Linked DNA regions of Drosophila melanogaster. The protein of the gene in region 2 purifies or fractionates together with the protein of the main gene of each other region. This does not show direct contact. Each region holds a gene or a part of one and is shown on either strand. Other genes may lie near its edges. The genes, in order: CG8578, Rab6 and Rich.

Region 1 (5,961 bases), on a different chromosome or scaffold from region 2:
TGAGTGGATTTAGGATAGCAGATCGTTCGGCAGCTTTGAATATGGTATTAAAATGCGTGCTTTGGCCGGAGTCGACCACATAGATGATCCAATCGCAAAGCTCCTCCTCCAAGCGATGGCGAATGGCTGCCATGTCAGAGGTATCATAGGTAAAGCCGCCATCCGATTTCACGATTGTCAGAGGTATGCCAGTTTTCGTATCGTCTGGCCACATGATCTCGCGTCCTTCATCCACTTCCAGCAGACCCTTGCCTCGCAAGTATTCCACAACGGACAGCATACGTGATTGGTAGAACGATTCCCCCCGTTCCTTGACGCTAATATCTAATCGTTCGTAGATCGTTTGGAACTCCTTTCGCGACACATTGCAAATTAGCTCCCACGCCTTAATGGAGTTCGGCACACCTTTCTGCAATGAAACCACTCGACTGTAGGCACGTTTTTTGAACTCCTCATCTTCATCGAATCTGCAAGGAAGTATTATTTACCTCGAGCACATCGTAATTACTTCGTAATGTTACAAGTCTTACCGCTTCTTGGATTCCTTGTAGAACAATTGCAGATCACTGATCGGAGGGCTTTCATTTAGGTAGTTGGGGAAACGATCTTCCAAATGGGCAATCAGCATGCCAAACTGTGTTCCCCAGTCACCCAGGTGGTTGATGCGGATCACATCGTGCTGCAGGAACTCCAGCAAGCGGCATAACGACTCGCCAATGATCGTGGACCGCAAGTGACCGACATGCATCTGTTTGGCAATGTTGGGCGATGAAAAGTCGACCAGGACTCGCTTTTTGATCACTTCTGGCGGCTTGACACCGTTACGCAATAGATTGCTTAAGGCTAAAGATGCATAATCTCTGCAAAAATTAACATTTTTAATGTTTATAATGGACTTTGTGTACTTATGCCACTCACTTGCTAAGGAACACGTTTACGAAGCCAGCTCCGGCAATTTCCAGCTTTTCAATGATTGGTGATGCTGGGCAGTGTCCTTTCAACTCGGTTGCAATATCACGTGGTGCTTTATTAATGCCCTTCTCTTTCAGCTTCTTGGACAATCCCATGGCATTGTTGCACTGATAGTCGCCGAATTTCGCAGACGTACTATTAACTGGTGCAATTATAACAGGCGTATCTCTGAATTCCGGGAAAGCTGATGCAATCGCCTGGCGAAAGACGCTTTCCAGGTGTTCGGTGATCGAAGAGGATTCCTTGGGCTTCGAAACGTCGCCGCCGGCGGCAGTTGATTCCTCAGCAATGGACTAACAGGGAAATAAAAGACATGAAATTCTTAAGCTTAAACACATTGGGGGTCATAAACTCACCTTCTTTAGGATAAACAGGCGGTTCTTCAGCTTCTTATTTTCAATTTGAAGCTGAACAAGATCGACGTCCAACTGTTCACCGCTTTTGGCAGTTTGTATTCTGGCGGCAAGGCCTTGGGTCTTCAGTTCCTTTAAAGCCGGCATGTCATGTCAAAATGTTGGCGTAAAGTAACAGCTATTCGCTTACCAGCTCCCTGAGTTTTTTCAGCTCCATATTTAGCTCGGACATGTTTCCAAATTGTGACTTCTGTTGCTCCGCTGATTAATAACAACAACACAACGATGCCACATGGATGGCAAGTAGTGTGCACACGTCGCCTATCGATAACGATAACAGCTGGTGATGTCACGCCTCACAGTCACTTCTAGGATGTCGTTTTTCCCACTGGCATTTAAAAGATTTTCTCATTTGACAGTTAAACTATGCAACAGACAAATTGTATTGTGTGTGCATTTTAAAATCACCTCTAAAATTGTAGATGTCGGTATGTATGGCAGGCTTTTTATGGCACATTTGAGAGCATTGCTTAGATAAATGTCAGCTGTGTGCGGTGGAAAAATCGCATCGGGTTCACATAGCACTTATGATTTTTATCGATAGATCGACTTATCGACCACCTCTATTATGATTAATTGTGATTGTTCTTTCGCTTAAGGTGTCTCTTAAAACTTTTTATGTGTATGTGTGTTTAATTAATTTATAGATTTTGTCACCTTTGTGTAAATACCTATAGTCTAGTGGGGCCGCAACCTAAACTCTTTGATGTGTGCTACACACAGTCCCCGAAAGATACGTGCGTGAAAACTTGGGAAAACAGATGTGTGTAACGCCGCTCCCATTAAAATTAAAACTGCAATGCAGACGGTTTTTTTTTGTTTTACAAATATAAATAGTGGATAAAAACATATTCACCGGGAACGACGGACGGATACATCCTATTTATAAACAGGAGATAAACTAGTTTTCTTGCATCTGTGCCACCAAATTGCCAAGTGTCGATGGGGAATTTGTAAAAGTTAAAAAAGAAAAAACCATTATGCAGCGCAATGCAAAAAAAAAGTTTACTTTATTTTCATCATCTGATACGCATTTTATCTGCATGTTCGCTTGCTTGGTGACAATGGGACTATATATTCACCGGTTTTTATATAAGTGAGTCAGCTCTGCTAGATAACAAAGTGCGTTCCGATGATAAGGTATCCATTATCATACCACACACGATCATCAATTAGGACATTCCAAAATGTTTACCAATATAGGAGGTTTCAACGAGCTGGACACCGAAAGAGCAGCACCAGAAATGCTGTCTCTGCAATTATTATATTTATTTATAAGTTAGTGGCTGAATTCAATGGACTTTTCTTTGGAATTATCGCAATATGATCCTTGTTATCACTTTCAATGGGTTCAAATCGAAACTGAATTCTTAGTGCATTCTTATAGACTTGAAACTAACAAGTTGCTTCTTTTTAGCGTGCGATCGCTTGCGATTAATATATAAAATATAGTTAAATTGAGCACAGATTCAATGGAAAGTATCAGCACCACAGGTCGGCGACGGAACAACATGCGAATCAATGCCGAAGACAATGCGCTGGATCAAATTACGAAAGAGGTGTGTATTTTACATCCCAAAACATAGCATTCAATGTAAATATTAAAATTGTTACTATCAACTGCGATTTGTACGTGCTCGGTTAACACAAGAGAATTACAGCCGCAAAGGGTCGCATAATTGAAACTCTATCAATTAGTTGATTTAAATGAAACTGATTCCCTTCTTTTCAGGCGGAAGCGCGACTTGCTGCGCGTCGACAGGCGCGCGCCGAAGCCCGCGAGATTCGCATGAGGGAGCTGGAGCGGCAGCAGAAAGAGCAGGAGATCACCGCCGACCGGGTCTTCGACATGCAAAACTCCACGGCAGTGGGCAGCGAAACTCTGTCGGCGCATCCCGTGCGCCTCGCCTACGGCGGACTGTTAAACGTGACCCGTGCATCAGCATCCCGCCGCAGCAGTGAGGACTCCGTGGAGGAGGAGGGCAGAAGTTTTCGCGACTTCAAGCACGAGCTTAAGGTGGGTGCTGACATCGCAGCCATCACTTCGATGTGATTTAAGTGGTTCTGCTTTCAGGATGTTGAGGAGCGGTTTCGCAAAGCCATGATAACGAACGCCCAGTTGGACAACGATCGCGCCTCGCAGGCCTACGAAGTCAAGCTACTGAAGGACAAATGCGAAATAATGGAAGAGTCGTATGCACAACTACAGCGCGAGTTCAAGGAGAAGATGCGTGACTGCAATGCCCTCAAACGCAACCTGGATCGCGCCAATCTCGAGCTTAAGCTAGTACAAGGGCAGTTAAACGAGCGCGACTCGTTGATCGCCGAACAGGGCCTTCTAATTGTAGCAGTTGAAAATGCCGATGGCAGCGATGCCAAGCGAGCTCTAGTGAGTGTCGAGAATGCCAAGGTGCTGGCCTCCGTGCAGGGTTCTTTAGGTGATTATCCCCCATTTGCACCTGGATGAGATCATTTAACAACAGTTCGAGTTCTTTGCAGACGTTAGACTTAAAAAGTTCAGTGACGAGAAGCAGCGGCTGCTGGCGGAGGTGCAGAAGCTTCACGAACAACTTGACGAGTATAAAAGTGATGGAATTTCCGGACGCCGCAGTCTTTCGCAAGGTTCCTTCGGCGATGAGAATGATTACGAGGCCCAACGTACGTGTACCATACTTACTTAATGCCAACTAAACTTTCAGCATGTAAAGTGCACCGCAGTGATTATCTTTTTTATAACTAGCAGCCCTTTTTGGCAGCACACAATAACTAACCGAGTCTTGCTCAAATTTGAACGATATTCAAATCGTATTATTTGTAGTTTTTATTATTTGATAACATGGCTTCAAGCAATATATATATATATATATATCATTTATATTTCCGATCGCATTGATCGGCCACATTCTCTCGCACTTTTGTGTATCTCCATATATCTTCAGTTTTTTAAAACAATAAATTGTATATAACTATTGCAGTTTGGCACTATAGGACTGCAACATATTTGTACTATATTACGAGCCCTTCCTTTTTCTTATACTATCCGACAGGGGAAACAAACAAAATCATTTCAGACCATAAATATAAGCTGCAAAAGGCGGAACAGGAAATCGCCAACCTACAGTCGAGCCTAGCGCGCTCCGAAACTCAAGTAATCCGATACAAAAGCACCGCAGAAGCTGCCGAAAAGGCGGAGGCTGAGCTGAAGCTGGAGCGCCGCAAGCTGCAACGCGAGGTGAGTGGTGGGAATGCCAAGCGAAATGAGCAGTTTATGATCTAGCTAATCCATTTCGCAGCACCGGGAACTCTTGGAGAAGTTGGAGGAAGCTGAAACGTCCAACAACCATTTGTTGAAACGCCTCGATAAGTTGAAAAACGCAAAGAGTGCCATTCTAAAGGACTTATGATCTAAGATGGGAAATGCAATCTCGCCAACCATTGAAGGATCGCACCCGATGACATAGGAAACGCAAGTACACGACATCATCAACACACAAATCAACATGCTGCAATTGAAATAGCACTTCGGTAGCAATTTAATCGGTCTTAGTGGTAGCAAATCGATAATTTTTGAAGGATAATCCAAAATACTCTACCTTAAAAATATATATATATATATATTTAAATTAAAATATAAACTAACTGGATAATAATTAACATAAATAATGTCTATATGTGTATATTTAAAGCGCAAAATATAAGTAACAATTCAATTGGTTCAGCATTATGTGTATAAAATCATTCTATACAAATATGCGTTGACAAAATTATAGCAAGAAACCTATCACTGATCCCAATTAAAAGGCTTCTGGTGAACCTGACCAATAGTTCTTTTCAAAATTACAATATTCTATTGAGTCTATATTTAAATCTTTGCTAGAAGTCCGTTTCATCGGTCGCGATCTCTAAACGGAACGCCCAAATAAATGCCACATTTAAGAACAATTAAAATCATCGTGTTTAAATAAATTACATTTATTTAATTTTATTTATTTTTCATGATTTTACAACATTGCAGCTTCGGCGGATCTTAGTTGTTGCGAATCATTCTCGAGTGGCCACTGAAAAGCATCTAGGATTCCGATTGGGTTTGACGCTCTGCGGACAGAAAAATGGCAATAATCAGCATTTGCTTTGGATAATAGTTTTTCATCACAAAGAAATAGTTAATAGTTGGTCGCTTGTAAACTTTTGGGGCGGGCAATTTTGGGATATATATATGTATATTAATATAAACATTATATTATATGTAAACACATCGCATTTGCATGCAGATCAGCTTGTAAGCGTAGTTAGAAACTTTGGGAACAAAGTTAGATACATAAACTGTCGTTGAGTTTAATGCGAACGCTGGGATAATTTGGGTTTTGTCTGCCGCGGCAGGCACTTACGCCAGTTTTTAAATTATTAATTTGACGATGGAACACCTAAGCCCTTTCATCTGAAAAATATATTCAAATATGACGCAATATGAAACATAAATTCTATTACTTTATGGAGCGTTTGTCTTGAAGGAATGGTAAGCAATTTTGCCTAATTTTGTTTCGATATTCCAATAAGTTACGAAAATTTTGAAATT
Region 2 (4,028 bases):
GCTCCTCGAATACCGTTAACGTGCGCACTCGGGACAACAAGGTGCACGGCGAGGTCTCCGTGGCGGAACTCATCACAAAGCTGCAAAAGATTCGCGACGAATTCATCGCCAACGAGGACAGCTTCTAAGACTCTATTTCGAACTATTTATCAAAAGTATACTTAACATTTGCATAGCAAAGCAAGTACGCATTTTTGTTCTTTCTATGTATTTACGCTTACGAAACCGGAATTCACAAATAAAAAACCAAATCCAAACACATTTTAAGGTGTTTCAAATAGAAGAGAAGAGCATGCAATCAAATAAAAGCAATTCGATTCAATATACGATTATTAAGCTTCCCCAACTAAAAATCGTATTTTTCTGATCCACCTTAAGCCGCCTATTTCACTCCAGTTTCTTGACGAATCAGTGGAATTTGTCAGCAATTGAGGACTAGTCATGCCGACACAGAGGTGCGCTGTAGTCCATTCAGGAACGATTTGGAATGATAAGATAAGTCGGCCCACATTTGGCGGAAAACTTTTTGGGAAAGGTGTGCGTGCACCCACAACGTATGAGTCATGTTTTGAATTTATTTTTTTGTATTAATTTATTGCTAGTATCTTGTATACTTTTCATTTTCATAATTTGATTTATTAAAAATTGCATCAATAGTTTATGTTTTTATTCAATTATCAATTTTGTAAGCTTTTGCTTTTCGCGTAAAAAATGCACAAAGTTCTCTCGCTAATCGAAGCAAAAATCGTTAATAATATTGTTAAGTGTTTGCTCTGCTCGTGCTCTGCTTATCTGTTTCAGTTTTAGTCATAAAAATACATATTTTATATTTGTGTATATTTATTCATAAGATGCACGTGGCCAAGTCCTATGCCATCCACAGTTCCAGTTAGCAGTCGCGTTCGCTGTGCTAAAAAAAAAACCGAAATCCTAACCAAAACTGGCGAAACAAAAGCCGCAAACAGAACAGAACGGGGGCTAAAATTGGAAACAAAATGCCTGGCTGGTGGAATCATTGAACACAGACTGGCTGCGTGGTATCTACGACTGCTGGAGATGCCGAGAGCTGGAATGTCGGAGGATCCTGGGACCGCCTGGCCTGACATAAGTACATGGTCTTGGGTTTTTTTTCGTTTAGAGGGTTTAGGGGGTATCGGAAATGCACTACACTATATTCTTGTCTGGTAGCTAACTCGCAAATATTACTCTGATCTTGATCCCTGATCTCGTGTCAATGAGTTAGCATTCGCACTCGCCTGCGCTCGGGATTAGCTCGTCAATTAACAGTAATTAGTTAGCCGATTTCGTTAATTGTTGTTTAGTCTATTTGCCTTTGCTATCATTTGTTACTTTATAAATAAACTTAAACGTAAAGTGTGTATGTGTGTATAGATGTTGAGGAATCCGCCGCAGATCCGGCCAGTACATACACCTGACACCTGTGTACACCAGTGCTGCTGGCCGATCTCCTGCATCTGCATCTGCTCCTGCTGTTGAAAAAGGGGGAGAGGATGGTTGGATCGTCGGCTCAACCGGTTCTAGCAGGCGCAGCCGCCCTCGGGATCCTTTGTCTCGTTGGGTGAGTCCTTTAGCACAACCTCCTGCATGTCCTCGGAGGGCTTGTTCTCCGTGGAATCCATGCCGGGCAGTGCCGCGGCCACCCGTCGGAACAATTGCTTCACATTGTAGCCGGCCTTGGCGCTTGTCTCGATGAACATCACGTTAAGCTCCTTCGCCTTGCGCTCACCCTCCTCGGTGGACACCTGACGCTTGTCGGAGAGATCCGTCTTGTTGCCCACCAGCATGATGATGACGTCGCTACCCCGCTCCGTGCGCACGTCATCGATCCACTTGGAGGTCTGGTGGAACGAGTTGGTGTTGGTGATATCGTAAACGACCACTGCCACCGTGGAGTCGCGTATGTACGAGGGTATCAGCGAGCGGAATCGCTCCTGTCCCGCCGTATCCCACAGCTGCAGGCGCACAGTGCGATCCTCCAGGTACATGGTCTTCGATAGGAAATCAATTCCGATCGTCGCCTGGTACGTGTTGTCGAAGCTGTCGTACATGAAGCGCGTAATCAGCGAGGTCTTGCCCACACTCTGCTCGCCGAGGAAGACGAGCTTGAACTTCCGCAGCGGATTGCCAAAATCTCCGGATGACATCTTCCTCAACGTACGTGTCTACTTTTTCTTAATTACGGGTTTGCTGAACTCTCTTCTCGCTCCGCTCCGCTCTCACCAATCTCCACCCCTCCTCACTGTTTATAATGGGGCTGGGCCAGCGGTTTTCGGGGCCCTTTCGCACTGCGATTTCTCGGGATGCACCGCTTTCAAGTTGCCGCACTCTATTACACACGCTCTAAATGCTTTCCGTCTGGCTAAAGACTCAATTGCGGCTCGAATGGCTTGGTAAATCGCTAGGTTGAGTCGTGGAAAAATTACGGTCTCTGCTTCTTCTTCTTTAACTTCTGAGTCAGTTGCTGTGTGACCAGAGTGGCAATCAAAAGCAATTTCTCTGCCACGCTATCGATAAACGCATATTTGTACTAAATCGATGTTTTATGATTTAAAAAAAAATCGATTGATATTCGTTACCGTTATTAAATAATTTTAACTAAAATTTACCTGCTTAAAATGTTTAAATACTGATGAAGTACAAGGTAATTGCTTAACTTTTTATTTCATATTAAAAAGTGAATACTAAGTGTAAGAAATACTAACAGGTGATAACGCGATTTTCAAATATAAAGCTCTCTAAAGTGATTTGCTTGTTTTTAGATAAACGAGCGTAGGTATTTGCCCATCCTATCGGTGGAACTTGACGTACTTCTGTCAAAGAGTCACTGTTCGGGCGTCGCTTAATCTCAAATTATAATAAGTGGTTATCTGAAGAACACACGGTCCTTAATTGAAAGCCTTATCTGCTGGCGCTGGCAAAATTTTGGAATGGCGAATTAATTTAAACGTGCCGCGATAAAGGTCGATGTAAACAGTTCCGCGAAAACTATGTTAGCGAACGGACAGCAAACAAAGTCGTTGGCCAGTGGGCTTCTTCTCCTACTGGGCATATGCCGAATATCCGGAGTGGCTATCGGCGCACCCGAGGGGCGTGTCGTGGGTGGATCTCCGGCAGCGGTGAATAGTGCTCCCTATGCGGTGTCCATGCAGTACGGTGGCACCCATTACTGTGCCGCCAGCATTCTGAATGCCAACTGGCTAGTCACCGCTGCCCACTGCCTGACCAATAGTAACCAGGTGCTGGGCAGCACCTTGGTGGCCGGAAGCATCGCGGTGGACGGAACTGCAAGCACTACGCAGACGCGGAGCATCACGTACTTCGTGATCAATGACTTGTACACCGGCGGAACTGTGCCCTATGACATCGGAATGATCTACACGCCCACCGCCTTCGTTTGGAGCGCCGCCGTTGCCCCAGTGACGCTACCATCCTCGGGAGTGGTGCCCACTGGCACCGCCAATCTGTACGGATGGGGCAGCACTAGCACCACGAATACCGCCTCCTATCCGTCGACCCTGCAGGTGGCCACCAATGTGCCTATCATTTCGCTGAGCTCCTGCGAAAGCGCCCTGGGCACCAAGGGCAGCGATGTCCACTCGACCAATCTGTGCACTGGTCCTCTAACTGGCGGCGTTAGCATTTGCACCTCGGATTCGGGCGGACCACTGGTCCAGGGCAATGTCCTTATTGGCATCGTGTCCTGGGGCAAGTTACCTTGTGGTCAGGCCAACTCACCGTCGGTTTACGTGCAGGTCTCGTCGTTTATATCGTGGATATCGGCTAACCAGCAGGTGTCCTAAATAGTCGAGTTTTTCCCTATTTTTTCAATAAAAGCAATCAAATGTGTGTCCCTAGTGGCGGTCACTTAAATGTGGGACTTTCCTTCGCATCACAGCTACTATATCAAACAACGAGCTGTTTTTTAAAGTTTATCTTATCTCGTAAAGAGAGAGGAACACGGTGAGCAACCAACGAACAGATTTATATGCTTCACATATTTTCGGGCT
Region 3 (7,714 bases), on a different chromosome or scaffold from region 2:
TCACCTCAAATGCATGCAACGTGGCCGAGCAGACGACCATCTGCAGACGGCGACCATCCGATGTGATCTTCGGAATTTGTTTGTGTAGACGGTCAATCAGCTCGGTGTAACCCTGCTTCAGAAGTGCGTCAGCCTCATCCAGAACAAAAAAGCGGCAATGGGTGAGCAGGACCAGTCCACTGTTGATCATCTCCTCCAGCCGCCCGGGCGTGCCCACCACTATGTGAGTGCCCTGCATCAGCTGCGCCTTTTGCTCTTCCAACCTCACTCCACCGATAAGCAGCAGGGAGCGAACCTCTGGGTTGCTCAGGTGGTATTTAAACTTCTCGATCTGGTTGTAGGTTTGCTCGGCCAATTCTCTGCTGGGCTCCATGATAATGGCCTGAGGGGCGTTAGGCGCCGGTTTGGCGGACGGTGCTCCAGCTGCGGGACCGGTTATCGGATTGGCCTTGCTATGCTCGGGTCCAGCCTGGCAAGCGCCAACGAACCCGTTACCCGGGGCATACTTGAAGTCAGTCTTTCCAAAGTTAAACTGCATTTCGGCGTTCTTCAGCACCACCGCCGGGTAAAAGGTCTCCTTGGCAAGGTTGTCCGGCAGGCGGAAGGCTACGCCCAGGTTCTGGCCATTCTTGGTGAAGCTCACTTCCTGGTTTTTCAAATCGAGCAGGCAGCCGATGACATCTGCCTTGCCGAATGCCTCACCGTAGTCATCAAACTGGCGGTTGTTGGACTTCTTGCCGGTGCCGCCGAATCCAAAGCCCATGCGACAGGTGCCCAAATCGAGGTTTGCCTGCTGTGTAGACCAGCCCACACGACACAGTCCCTCGTCCGTTACCGTGGCCTCAAAGTAGAACTTGCCCTTTCCGCGAACGCCAGTGGTGGCCCGACACCCGTGCCACTCCTTGAACTCCCGCGACTGGCAACGCAGACCATCAGGAGTGACGGCAAGCGCGTTTCCTCGGTCGAAGAAGGACATGGTCCACGGAGTCACAGCTCCTCCAATTGCACCGCCCTTGCCAGCCTTCCCCTCCTCCAGATCACGCAAGGTCTCCCACACGATTTGCAGAATGGGGAGGCAGAAGGCACCCGTTTTTCCGGAACCAGTTTCGGCGGCCATCAGTACATCGCCGCCACCCAGGATCAGAGGAATGGCCTCAGCCTGGACATCGGTGGGCAGGCTGAAAATTCATAAATGTGAAGGCAATAGGCAGACAGAACTGTTTTTTCTTACGTCCAGTCCAATTCGTCTGTGGCCATTCCCAGCTCCGGAAGCACGCCAAACTCTGCGAGGCAAGTCAAATAAGCAATGCACACCTTAAATATTAATTTTCACTTACCTTCGAATGCAGTCATTTTGAGAATACTTCACAAATCTCCTTTTTGTTCTGCCTCTCGAAAGCCGGTTGATTTATTTAGTTCGAGATGCGTTGAATTAGTTCGAATTGACAGTGGTTGTTGGTGAACTAGATCGCGGACTCGAAATTCGGGAACTTTTTAGTGTTGTAAGCTTGCGCAGGTCAATGAATTGAAGTATTTAATAACTTTATTTTGAATGAAGGGTTTGAACATAAAAAATATCTTCGGGAATTCCTTTTTAACAACACTCATTAGTTGTTGGTAACTTTACTTGACTATACTGGAATAGGATAAATGCCAATGTTACTTGACTTTATGAGATAAAACTATGAAGGGTAGAACATTTAGTTCGTGATCTAATCATAATGTATTTATTTAATTATTGTTTAAAAGATGAATTTAAAACGATAAGAAGGCTCGTATAGCCGAAAATAGAAGTAACCCAAAATGCATTCACTTGTCGATTTTTTAAGAAACAGCTGATGGGTGCAGAAAAGCTAGCCTGACATCACTGTTGCCTTCTTAAAATCAGTGGTGCGAAACGGCGATTGGCAAACAGCTGTGATTTTGGAACGCTGGCCAACACTCATATTTGTATACGCGTAAAATCGCTCAGATTTTTTGTTGTGCTGTGGAATGTTGTCTAAAAGTGCTAATTGATCGGGGCAGATCATGTAAAACTGGGCGTAACCCACATAAGCTAAATGCACCCGCACCAGACCGCAGGTTGAATTCGTTTTTCCGCACTCCCGCTCTTGCTAATGAACTTTTCCGTTTGCGCAGTAACTTTTCACACGGAGGATGTACTATCCAGTGGGCTGGCCCAAGCGGGTGGGCCTGGCGCTGCCCGGCGAGAGCGCCAGCATCCGGCACATCTGCTGCGACGCGGTGAAAATACTTGTGGCCGCCGTGGGCGACGACTTTCTGGGCATCTGGTACGCGAATCCACTCATTCCCATTGCTTATTTCCGGCGGACGGAGGACTCCCTTCGCCAGTACGGGGCCAACCAGCTGATCGTGTGGAAGCCGGACTCTCGGCAGCTTGCCCTGCTTACCGCGTCCGGCTCCCTGTTGTTGTACCAACTGGACTTCGAAGCCAACGGCATGGGAATCCTGCAGCAGATAGATCCGCCCGCCGCGAGCCTCAAACGCGACTCCGCCGAGCTGTTTATCAAGGAAAACATACCCCGGCTGAGCCTTCGCGAACTGTGTAGCGTCACCTTGGGCTCCGTCATCACCACTGTGTGCTGCATTAGCCTCAGCGAATTACTCTTGGCCACCCAGTCCTGCGAACTGCTGCGTCTGCAGTGGACCGAACTGGAGCACGCAGAGAACGACCTAGAGTTGCCAGCCCTATCTTCAATTAAGCTGCGCGACATTCCCTTCTACGTCCAGCAGCAGCCTCAGCAGTCCGCGCGCAATGTGCCGCCCTTGAACAGGGACTCGTACGTAGCTTCTCTGGAATACTCGCCGTTCATCGGTGGCTGTGCAGCCGTCTTCAGTGACCGACGAGCCGCCTTCCTGATTGCCAACCATCTAAGATTTGAGACCGATCACATGCACGGCTTCTGGGTGCCGGATGTTGAGGATGCGAGTGTCTGCAGTGTCAATCACAAATTTCGACTGTTGGCATATGGTCAAGAGAGCTCGGCGGTGAAGGTGTACGCAATTGATGATGCCACCGGGGGACTAGAGTTTTCTCATCGACTTATCCTCACGGAAAACATACTCCCAGACAGCCTGGGTTCAGTAAACGAGCTAAAGTGGAGCCCTGACGGCTGCGTCCTTGCTGTGAGTTGGACAAATGGAGGCTTGTCCCTATGGAGCACATTCGGAGCATTGTTAATGTCTACTCTGAGCTGGGATTTCGGCCTTAACGTAGATTTGGTTTGTCAAAATCCACTCAAGATCCGTCGGCTCGAATGGTCAACCGAGGGTTATCAGCTTTTTATGCTAAAACTGCATCCGGAAAAAGACAAAAGTAATGTGCTTCAGCTGCAGTTTGTGAAGAGCGCTCTGAGTATGAATCCCTGCATGACGACTAGTCCGCACATCCTGCTGCAGGGTGACGACTGCCTGTACCTTAACCAGGGCAATAATCTGGAGCTAACGTATGCCGGAAGCCATGGAACGTTTCCATCAAGCGGCCTGGGCTCTGACGAAGACATTTCCGGTGATGGCGACTGTCTGGAGTTAAAACAAAGCCCGCACACAGGCAGCATTCTTACGGAGAGTAAGTATTGGACAGTGTTGCAGCTGCCGCTCAACTACGCGGCCACAAACTGGCCAATCCGATATGCTGCTATCGATCCCGATGGACTCCACTTGGCGGTGGCTGGTCGCACTGGACTGGCGCACTACTCCCTAGTGACCCGGCGCTGGAAGCTTTTTGGCAATGAGTCGCAGGAGAAGGACTTCGTTGTCTCTGGCGGCCTACTGTGGTGGCATGGCTTTGTAGTCATGGGCTGCTATTCGCTTCTAGACCGCACGGATGAGTTGCGTTGCTATCCGGCAGATTGCAAACTCGACAACCAATACGGGCACAAGCTGCAGGTCCGAGCACCAGTTATTAGCCTGAACTCATTCCGACACCAGTTGATTGTACTCACTGCCGATGGAATAGTGAGCCTGTTCAATATGTCGAAAAACTCAGCGTACGCCCTGGATATTGAATGCGCCTATGAATTGGACGTGAAGAGCATTTGCATCCATCCTGCCTGCATTGTTAGTCTGACTGTGACTAACCTCAAGAATGAGCTAAAGCCCCAGGGACAGCTGGGTGGAGATCAGGCAGAGACTATCATCGTGAATGTATGCGGCCGCATATTGATGATACAGCGCGATGCCGGCGAACAGGTATGTTTGAAAAATATTAATTGTCGAAATGCTTAAAGTTGGAGAGATGCAAATCATTTATACATTTCATATGTGAATTTACCGTTATCTCAAAGTAAAGCGAACGTCAGCATGTCTTCTATTTGGAAATGTCTTTGGTTATCGAGCCAACCATAACAAGGAATTTGAGTATGCATCTTTTCAACTTCGCGGACAATTATTACGATATATCATATAGCAACTAAAGTCAAAATCTATGTTTACCAAATAGGTCCCAAACACCTTGCTGGCCACCTGCCTGGCTAGCTGCGTTGAGGTCTTCTGGCTGTCACACTCCCTGGAACGCTGTGCGATGCGTGACTGCCTTTGGCTTTACTCCGGTGCCCACGGAATGCGCGTATGGCTTCCAATACTGCCGCCGGGAAGGGAGCGTCGCGAAGGCGAGCAGGGCGGCGCCCAACGTCTGCACAGTTTTATGTCAAAGCGAATCATGCTGAGCTTTCCGCTGAAACTTTATCCGCTCGTCGTGCTCTTTGACAATGTGATCGTTCTGGGGGTGGAGAACGAAAGCACGCTTTACGCCAATGAGCAGGTCTCCCACTTCTCTCTGCCGTTCGCCGTTATGGAACGCAAGTCGCAGATCTATCTGCACAAGGTACTTCGCCAACTGATCAAGCGGAATTTGGGCTACTCTGCCTGGGAAATGGCACAGTCGTGTTGCTCGCTACCATATTTTCCGCACGCTCTGGAACTGCTTCTACACGAGGTTCTCGAGGAAGAGGCTACTAGCAAACAGCCCATCCCGGATGCACAGCTGCCCAGTATTCTGGACTTTATAAGAGAGTTTCCCGTCTACTTGGAAACAATTGTTCAATGTGCCCGCAAAACAGAGATCGCCCTGTGGCCGTACCTATTTTCGATGGCTGGTAAACCGAAGGATTTATTCCAGATGTGTCTGCAGTCGGAGCAGCTGGACACGGCTGCGAGCTACTTGATAATCCTGCAGAATCTAGAACCCTCTGTTGTTAGCAAGCAATATGCCACCATGCTGCTGGACATTGCTCTACAGCAGCGAAAGTGGGAGCTGGCTAAGGACTTGATCCGGTTTTTAAAGGCTATAGATCCAAATGAGATCGACTCACCGCGGTCGTCGATGGTGGTGAATGTGAAAATTGCTCCTCCTCCCCAGGTGAATACACAGCAGCAAGTGAACCAGAATGCGGATGCCTTTAACATGGTTCTGGGTCCCATTGCCAGAGAGAGAAGCTTCTCCACCACGGTGACTAGCAATCTGCCCAAAGATAAGCAGGCATCTGGGACTCCTGGGGTTGCACCTGTGACCGAAAGCAGCAGTGCAGGAGCACCCTCGGTGGTGCGCCGGCGGTCGACTAAGCAGCGAGAGACGTTCTGCATCGATCTGATACTGCAGCGCCATGCTCGACAACTACTTCAGAACCACAAACTAATGGATTTAGGCTACATGTGTGCTTATCTGGACTTTCACCTTGTCAGCTGGCTTTCGCAGGAATCAGAGCGGGCAGCCAAGTTGGATGATTTCGCCGGCGCTCTGCAGGCGCTACACGAAGAACTAGATCTCCCCATTCCATTTCCGACTGCGGCAAAGGACGACTTTGCTCAGATACGCGGCAGTCTTCGACAGACAGGAGGCGGTGGATCTTCGCAAACGTCAGAGTCTGGCTATTTTAGCTTGGCCACGCCCAATGGAGCCGCAACACAGTCGCCACAGCTGCAGCCAAGCATTAGGGAAGAGGAGGAAGAACTGCAGCAGCCTAGCTCCCTACCAATACTTAAGACGCGGTCTGGATCGCAACTGTCGTTCGATAACTTTCGCTACCGCCGGCTGTACTCGCTACCGACATCAGAGGACGACCTAGCCGTGGATATTCTGCCTCAGAAGCTGTCCATTAAGCTGCGTTACTTGTTACAGCTGTTTATCGAGGCGAACTGCACGGACTACGCGCTGGTTCTTTCCATTTTGCTCCAGGACGCGGCTTCCATCTCGCGGATTGTAAACGGAATAATCCGAAGCGAATCGGTTCACACCTGTCGACGTACGGAATCTGCACTCAAACAGTTAAGTCAGAGCACCTTTGAACACAGCGGATCTTTGTACCGGGGGTTCGTCCTCACCTTGCAACCGCATGTTTACCTGCTAGAACAGTACATACAGTCTCTGGGGGATGCTCCCTGTTCGCAGCTCCAAGATGCCGGCCCGGGTACCGAGCAGGGCGTGGACGTCAGCACGGGACTCCAGGGACTGCAGAACGAAGTGGGCGAATTTGTTCCAAATTCCCAGCAGGCTAACGGAAACCAATGGACTGTGGCGGACCTTAACCCGAATCACCAGCGGCTCACGCGGCACGCCAGTCTAGAGTCTAACGGGAACGCAGTGGTGGCCAGCGGTTCCTCTGCCCATTCAACGCCCACCCAGCGCCAACTGTCACGGCAGAACAGCCGCGAGCGGGAGGGCTGTCGCCTCATGTAAGCCGTTAGCCGTAATCCGTAATGCGAGAGGCGTAATCCGTACTCCACATACTCAGCGCAAAGACGCAGATACGTACTTTTTTTGTAGGTCCGTGGGGTGAAGCGTTTTGTTGCTGTAGCTCGTTGTTAAAATTTTTTGTTAATTGTAAGCCGGCGTACACACTCACACAGGGTTAGAGAAACAACCGGATGGAAACTCACACGCAGACAACGAAGCGTCGCCGGCTAAACAAAACAAACCGTAAAACCGTATGAAGCATACGCAACGTAATCCATAATTTAGTAGATGAAATTTGCTGCAATATTTGTTAATTAAAATTATACAAACAATATACTTAAATATACAAATCAAATACAATTATATTTTTACTAATAAATGAAACCATTTAACAATTACCACCCTTGTATTCTTAAGCAGCTCGTTCAGGTGTCAATTCGAACTGATTAATTTTACTGCGATGAACCTGAAAACCACTACGAATAAAATAAAAAATAGAAGGAAATTGTTTTTATTCGAAAGAGAACAAGAAGTGAAAATCAATTGCCAAATTCTTTCGTACGGCTTTGTGATAGGCCAACATTAATTCATTCAATATCTACATTGGCATCTGTCAGCTGGTGCAGGAAACCGGAAATAGTTCGTATTTTCAAGTTTCCTTGATTTTCTAGGGATCAAAGGCCATGCCATTCACCCTCTGCGACTATTGTGACCTGGCGGCAGGTTGACTCTGCGACAACGTCGGTTGTAATTTGTTCGCCCGCTGCTGCTGTAAAAGTTAATCGCTGTGACTGATTCATTACGTGCCCTGCTTGATTTGGTAATGCAGGTGGTAGTTAGGATGGTGCCAACGCCGAAGTGCTGTCCCTCCCAGTCGAGTTTGTGTCCGTGTTGTGCTGCGCTTTTGAAGTTTTCCTCCAAGTTACCGGATTGCCAATTCACAACGCTCGAAACTCACATGCACACTTCTACTAGATACACTCAGGAAAATAATAATAAATAATTCTGAAGAGGGCCCTA

What was found.
Region 1: the proteins of Rab6 (region 2) and CG8578 purify together in Drosophila melanogaster (affinity purification with western blotting; one study listed by BioGRID). This does not show direct contact.
Region 3: the proteins of Rab6 (region 2) and Rich purify together in Drosophila melanogaster (affinity purification with western blotting, with the first as the bait; one study listed by BioGRID). This does not show direct contact.

What each region holds. Positions count from the first base shown.
Region 1 is NC_004354.4:15,842,525-15,848,485, forward strand, and holds CG8578 (uncharacterized protein), read left to right. Parts: upstream 1-1,951; 5' UTR 1,952-2,007; intron 2,008-2,112; exon of another isoform or gene 2,113-2,148; intron 2,149-2,802; 5' UTR 2,803-2,857; coding exon 2,858-2,944; intron 2,945-3,117; coding exon 3,118-3,402; intron 3,403-3,459; coding exon 3,460-3,823; intron 3,824-3,884; coding exon 3,885-4,043; intron 4,044-4,432; coding exon 4,433-4,617; intron 4,618-4,678; coding exon 4,679-4,789; 3' UTR 4,790-5,334; downstream 5,335-5,961. Other genes in the region: ArgRS (Arginyl-tRNA synthetase), read right to left, coding at 1-467, 531-860, 919-1,265, 1,329-1,457, 1,516-1,557; sun (stunted), read right to left, coding at 5,455-5,480.
Region 2 is NT_033779.5:12,106,635-12,110,662, forward strand, and holds Rab6 (Rab6), read right to left. Parts: upstream 2,483-4,028; 5' UTR 2,166-2,482; coding exon 1,539-2,165; 3' UTR 587-1,538; downstream 1-586. Other genes in the region: ThrRS (Threonyl-tRNA synthetase), read left to right, coding at 1-128; Phae1 (phaedra 1), read left to right, coding at 3,009-3,821. UniProt on the Drosophila melanogaster protein: Protein transport. Regulator of membrane traffic from the Golgi apparatus towards the endoplasmic reticulum (ER). Mediates membrane trafficking during egg chamber growth and organization, possibly upstream of exocyst component Sec5.
Region 3 is NT_037436.4:22,257,122-22,264,835, reverse strand, and holds Rich (RIC1 homolog), read left to right. Parts: upstream 1-1,914; 5' UTR 1,915-2,082; intron 2,083-2,139; 5' UTR 2,140-2,157; coding exon 2,158-4,212; intron 4,213-4,462; coding exon 4,463-6,697; 3' UTR 6,698-7,087; downstream 7,088-7,714. Other genes in the region: Ddx1 (Dead-box-1), read right to left, coding at 1-1,178, 1,232-1,283, 1,338-1,353.